2 linked regions of the Coturnix japonica genome follow. The protein of the gene in region 1 interacts with the protein of each later gene in a pairwise test. Links are inferred from orthologs where the notes say so. Each region holds a gene or a part of one and is shown in the gene's direction. Other genes may lie near its edges. The genes, in order: TRAF3IP1 and OLFM1.

Region 1 (3,827 bases):
TTTTTCTTAGACTTATGCTATATGCTAAAGATTAAGAAAGAAAAAGGACTGTAGCAAAATGCAATTTGGTTGTGTTTGCATGCTCTTAGTAGACCTTATTCAGGTCGTTGTTAGTAAAGAGAATACCAAAAAGCAATCTGTGCAAGTGCTTTGTAATTCAGGTTAAGTGCTTTCCGAAGGGGAGAGAAACCTAAGGACATAAAATGGTCATAAACTATTACTACTTTTTTCTTTTTTTTTTTAACTTGAAGCAGATCCTGTGGGGAACTTCTTGTCACAGGTAGTTATTGCAACAACCACTTTAAAACGTACCATTTCCATTTTCTTAATGCCTGCACATGACATTTTTTTTTTCCTCCCATTACTTGTATTTGTGGGTTCAGCTCATGTTAAAAGCGATTCACAAAACCTTTCCTACAGCAGCAGATAACTGGGGCAGTGGTGAATGGTGAGGGTGAAATTCTCCTTTCTATCTTGTAAGCAACATGTGTGGTAGACATCAAGATGCAGTGAGAGCAAGAAATCAGCTGAGTCCTTGGATATATAAAGCTTGTAGAGTTGCACTTAGTTTGTCATATGATTAATTTCATTAACACATTAAAGTATAATGTTGATAAGGCTTGAAATACTGTTGTAAAGAATTAGATTTGCATTTTCTACGTGGCAGGTAAGCCACTATTACATTTTTTTCTATTGAATAGAAGATGAAGCAGAGAACCTTGATCCTGAAAAACCTGCTGTATCTGAAAACGATGAAGCACCCAATGATCTTCCACCTCAGGCTATCCAAAGGTTGGTTCCTGTTCTTTATTCTGTCTGAGTGAAGCACCAGTGGTGTCTGGAGGTCACATGGTTGTAGTGGAAATGCTGAAGCAGTGATTGAGCACCTGGTGGGAAGGCAGGGCCAGCCTAAGGGAGCTCAGGAGCATGCAGTGTGTCTGAGTGATTGGAAGGGCTGGAGCCAGGATCCACCCCTTCCCAGACCTCATTTAAGGGTTGGCAGTGGAGATGAGGGTGTTTTTTGCTGGAGTTCCCTGTGTGTTTGAGGCCATTCAAAGGCAAGCAGCTCTTTTCCTTCATTTTTGTTTCTGTGGTTGCTGTGCTTGGGCTTGTTCTCATTTGCTGTAGCCAAAGACTTTGCCACCCTGCTATTATCCTAGTACTTTCCATCCCATTATAACATTACAACCGTCAATTGGAAAATAGCAAGGGAATGTGAAGCAGTTTGTGCTTGTGGCGTGCAATAATGAATATTATCCCATGTACGGTTCATTTTATTTGTTTTCATTTCCTTCTACGAAGGAAACTTCATGTCTTGGATGTGCATTCTTAATCCAAAAAGTGCCTTGATGTAATCTTATTATATTAAGAGTGATCTGTGAAGAGTCTGAGTCTGTTGCATCACTTCAGAAGTATGGTGTTAGGGATAAGATGAACTTGACTTTCAAATCCCAGTTTACTTTTTCTTTGCCCAGAAATAAGCTACTGTAATTGTATTACTTATGGAAATATACTTTTTCCTTTTGCTGTTATTGCTAGTTAACTGTGCAGTATCCAGATTATTTTTAGTGAGACAAACTAAGAGGTGGTTTTACCCAAAATGATACTATTCTTGTTGAAGGTCACACTTGTTAGGTTTTCTCAGACTCCTACTAGGTCAGAAGGTATTGCCATATAGGATTCTACTCTGGGGATGTTTCCATTGGTTTTATGCTTCCTTTTACAGTGTAGGTGAAAAGTCTTTTTTCTTGCAGACGTATTCCTCGTCCTGGCAGTGCAAGGCCAGCACCACCCCGAGTAGTGAAACGCCAAGAAAGCACGGAGGCTTTGCTTTCAGAAAGGTGAGAAGTGTGGGTGATGCAGAAAAGATGCTGTTGGCTTTTACGCCACAGTATTCTAAGATGTTGTGTTCACCCTGTGCCAGTGAATAGCATCAGGATGAGTCACCCTACTGATTCAGGCAGGAAAACTCAAGCCTTTCTGCAAATCCAGTGTATTATTTAGAAGTTACAGTTAGTGGCCACATAAGGAAGTTCAATGATAGATACAATTTGATTAATTTTTTTGTCACTGGGAACTTTCAAACAGGTAAGCCTGGAATATTAATCTTAACTATCAATATAAGAGATCTGTAAGGCATGTAGTGTATCTCATGCTCAAAAAAAGGCTGAAACAGCCCCTTGAATTTATGGCCAAAATGTCTTGCAGGTGATGTCAAATAAGTGTCAAGCACTAAAGCAGTGTATTCAGGAGTAATGGCAGTGAAGGAATTTGGTGTGCTGCTTTATTTTATGGAAGGAGGTGAGGGGATAGATCTGAATGGGATTGGGCCTAAAAACTTAATAGGTTTTCATGTTCGTTTCATCTCTTATCAGGAACGGTAGTGCTAAGGCAGTCTCAAATGTGATCATAGACCAGCAGGCTTCTGATGATGATGATGACCAGTTTGTGGTGGAGGCAGCCTTGCCCGTGCCTGAAATGCCAGAGCTGGAAATGGTTTGTTAATGTTATAAATTATAGAACCTTTTCTCAGCCTTTGTAGCTTGCTTGTTTAAGTAGCTTCTAGCTGGACATGTTGTTGAATAATTTTATATTGTAGTAATACCAAGTTTTTCCAACTAAAGCTCTCTCCCTGCATGTTTAGGAGCCAGAAGTGGATCTGGTGGAGGATGAGAAGCATGGTATGTTTGCTTTTGTATGTATTTGTATGCATATACATAAGAGTAAAGCCACAAGTTTAAACCAAGTACTAAGCTCTTGCAATGGGGAATACAGCAGCAAAATACCTTTTGATGGAGCAGAACCTTGCAACTTTGCAAGAACACGGCAAATGTTTCTCAAATGAAGTCTTGTATAGCCGAGCAGAGGGATTTACAGCTGATGTCAAACATGTATCTTCTGTATGTCTCTTTGAGATAAGTGAAGGGGTTGGCTGGTCAAGGCAAGTTAGAGAAAAGCTTCTAGGAAAATTGATTGTCTGGTTCATGGCAATGGTTATGCTTACTTGTGACCTCTGATATCTGATTCAGGGCCTTCAGTCCATTGTGGCCACACTGGATGTGATTTAGGGAGGCTTATTTCTCTGTACCAATAAATTATTAGCAGATTGCTATCTGTGTATACACATGTGCATGTGTATGCAGATAAGACAGTGGAAAAATAAATTTAAAGTATCTTGTATCTCAGTAATTGAAATACAATGGAATACTGTTCATGTTGGGTTTGATGTTATTGTCTTGAATGTTTAGAATCATGTTCTGAGAAATATCCTCATTTTCTCCAGGTGGACTTGTGAAAAGAATCCTGGAAACAAAAAAGGATTATGAAGCATCACAAAAATCATCTAAGACGACAGAAAAAGTAAGATGGAAATAGCCTGCAAGAAATTGTGGTTATTATATATTGTAACGTGGTTTCATACAGCATTTAGTAGTCCTTTTTAGCCTGCTTGATCTCAGCCTTGCCATAGATGCAATAAGGCACACACTGCATTTATGCAGCTACGTAATTAATTATTGTTTCAATCTTAATTGTCCTCTGGTAATATCAACCGATCATCAGTCATTATAATTACCTATAAAACATAGGGATCTGGTGCAGTTAACCATGTACAGTAAGTATTACCATATCACCAGGTGCTACCTTAGTAAAATCTAGCAGACCTGGGCTTTCTAGACTGAAACAAGGACGTGATTTTATTTCTCCAGCCAGAAACTGGGATAGGGAAATAAGAGGGAGGGAGGTCTAGAGCTGTTCTAGGAGCGATCACAAACCAAAACCAAGATGTTGAAGCACCCTGATATTCATGTATTCCTTCCATAACGTGG
Region 2 (2,962 bases), on another chromosome or scaffold:
TATAAGGAGTCTAGACAGTGTCCCTGGCGAACTGGCGTTTAAATCACGATCTGAAATCTCTCTCCCATCTCCTGATAGCAACATTTTTGATGTCTTTGTGTCTTGTCTTTCAGCGGTGTTGGTTTAAGCTTTTGATGGGGAAGTGTGTGATTTTTAAACCAATATGGACTTTGCCTGCATTTCCCTGACAATGAGCAATTGTGTTCCTCGCTCCTGCATGCCAAATTAACAGAGCTCAGCACAGCAGCTGCTGTGATTTACTGAGTGGGATCGTAATGGGGCTTACAGGAGAGGAAGGCAGCATCTCCATAGGGTTTAGTTGCAGAAAGGTGCTGCTTGCCCTCTGGAGGGACAGTGTTGGTCCTGTGGCTATGCCAGCTTACCCCCAGGAAAGCTGTGCTATTCTCTCCATTCCCTAATGAGTCTGTGGCGGCAGCCTGAGGTTTGTTCTGGGCACAGGAGGCTTTGGGTGTGTTGTTCTCCAATGCGTGTCTCAGTGAGGTTGGCCCCAAGCAGCTCACTATGGGTTTAGCATCCTAGGCAAATGACTGCCTCTCTGATGGGAGGTCTCAGCTGTTCCCTAACCCCACGTGTTTCTGTTGCTCGCCCAGGTCTGGTACATGGACAGCTACCACAACAACCGCTTTGTCCGCGAATACAAATCCATGGCGGATTTCATGAATACCGACAATTTTACCTCTCACCGTCTCCCTCACCCGTGGTCAGGCACTGGTCAAGTGGTCTACAATGGCTCTATCTACTTCAATAAATACCAAAGCCACATAATTATCAGGTTTGACTTGAAAACAGAGACTATTCTCAAGACTCGCAGCCTGGATTATGCCGGCTACAACAACATGTACCACTACGCCTGGGGCGGCCATTCGGACATCGACCTCATGGTGGATGAGAACGGGCTGTGGGCTGTCTATGCCACCAACCAGAATGCGGGCAACATTGTCATCAGCAAACTGGATCCCAACACACTGCAGAGCCTCCAGACCTGGAACACCAGCTACCCAAAACGCAGCGCTGGGGAGGCCTTCATCATCTGTGGCACGCTCTATGTCACCAATGGCTATTCGGGAGGCACCAAGGTGCACTATGCTTACCAGACCAATGCCTCTACCTATGAATACATCGACATCCCGTTCCAAAACAAGTACTCGCACATTTCCATGTTGGACTACAACCCCAAGGATCGTGCCCTCTATGCCTGGAACAACGGGCACCAAATACTTTACAATGTCACCCTCTTCCACGTCATCAGGTCTGATGAGTTGTAGTCCATCCTTGTTTAGAAACTGATTTAGGAAAACAAACACACGAAAAAAAAAATGTAGAAAAGAAAAAAAAAAAAAAAGGGAGAAACGAATATAAAAAAGAAATGCTAATATTGAGGAAACACACTTTAAATAAGTAAATAAACAAACAGCTGCCAAAATTAAGACCAACATTGTAGAGGATTATTCAGCATAGACCTGACAGATCAGCATTACCTCTACATTTCTAGAAGTCTGGCCCCGTGTTATGGACTCATGACTAACCATGTACTTGCAGCTGGAACTGCACCTGGAGAACCACTTCAGTTTGGGGTTTTGTTTTGTTTCTGTTCCGATAGCAAACCTATAGCGCATACAAAAGAAGTAAGGCAATGACTGTTGGAAGTTTATCCTTGGGAGACTCGATCTCTTCTGTGTGGGGGTTGCATGGACATTTTCCGACATCGCGGGCAGCTGTGATGGATGTGTGATTTGTATTTCTAAGCAGAAAGCTGACCCGTGAGGAGCTCTCGCTGTCTGAACAAGACCTATCACAGGTTAGTTTTATTCGCCTTCCATTGCAGCTACTGTCTCTCAACTGTGTTCTTGTCACTTAGATTAACTGTGCTGAGACCCGAAGTAGCTCATGGATCTGTGTCTTAGTAACTATTAAACACGATGGTTTAAGTATGTATTATGAACAAGTTGTTGTACCCATATTGTTTGAACTTATGTATTCAGCAAATATATTGTATAATGTATGTCTGTTATTTACCAGAGGTGGCGAAACTTTGTATGTCCAGTTTATGCAATGAATGTTGTAAATGCAATGATGTAGTTTGGATTAATAAATGATGGTTTTGTTTCTAAAAAGAAAAAAAAAAAAAAAAGAAAAAGAACAAAAAAAAAAAAGCTCAGTGTTCACCCTTATACACAGATAACCAATTTCATGTTGATAATGACAAGAATATTCTCTTACTGTTATAATATCTACATAGCATTATGGTGGTTGGAAATAGCTTCTGTGTGGAAATTCTGTGCCGTCAGATTCCCATGGGAAGCCCAGTTTATGGAAGTGTGAAGGTAATTACTTCTTTTCTTTCTTTTTTTTTTTTTTAAAGAGGAAAACTTTGTACTATCCACAGTTATCTAAGGAACAATAAAAATATTAGGAGACTTCCCCGCTTTGTTCGTTATGTGTTCTGTGCACGAGCAACCAGGTGCAGCGGGAGAGGATAAGAGGAGTCGCTGTGGGGTTTTGGGGTGATGGCTGCAGCAAGTTGGGTGTGCTCCCAGCTCAGAGCCCTCTGCTTGCATGGCCTGTATGTAGGGCTGGGTCAGAGCTGTAGGACAGACTGGGCTCCATGGGGTTTTGCATACTCTATTTCTTGCCCCTTTGCAAGATGTGTGCGTCTCCCTGTGCATTTGATGGGTCTTCTTTTGGACTTCTGTAGGCTCTCCTGTTGGTTATCCAAGCCAGACTGTGCACTTAGGGGGAGATGGATGTGACTATTTGGGTATGCTGACATACAAGGCATGGCACAATGGCAGAGCGCCGGCGCAGCTCTTCATGCGCCTAATTACCCAAAGTCACTTCTATCATTAGGCGAGGTTTGAGGACAAAAGAGCAAATTTACTTCAAAATATTGATCTGCAAAAAGTAAATTGAATTACAAAACGGCAAAATAATGCTGTTTGCT

Evidence for each region.
Region 2: the proteins of TRAF3IP1 (region 1) and OLFM1 interact in a two-hybrid assay, tested with the Homo sapiens proteins (2 studies listed by BioGRID and IntAct). The link is inferred for Coturnix japonica from reciprocal best matches to the Homo sapiens genes TRAF3IP1 and OLFM1.

Annotation. Positions count from the first base shown.
Region 1 is NC_029522.1:3,278,649-3,282,475, reverse strand, and holds part of TRAF3IP1 (TRAF3-interacting protein 1), read left to right. Parts: intron 1-701; coding exon 702-792; intron 793-1,754; coding exon 1,755-1,841; intron 1,842-2,375; coding exon 2,376-2,496; intron 2,497-2,644; coding exon 2,645-2,681; intron 2,682-3,283; coding exon 3,284-3,360; intron 3,361-3,827.
Region 2 is NC_029532.1:6,128,594-6,131,555, forward strand, and holds the end of OLFM1 (noelin), read left to right. Parts: intron 1-611; coding exon 612-1,286; 3' UTR 1,287-2,442; downstream 2,443-2,962. UniProt on the Homo sapiens protein: Contributes to the regulation of axonal growth in the embryonic and adult central nervous system by inhibiting interactions between RTN4R and LINGO1. Inhibits RTN4R-mediated axon growth cone collapse.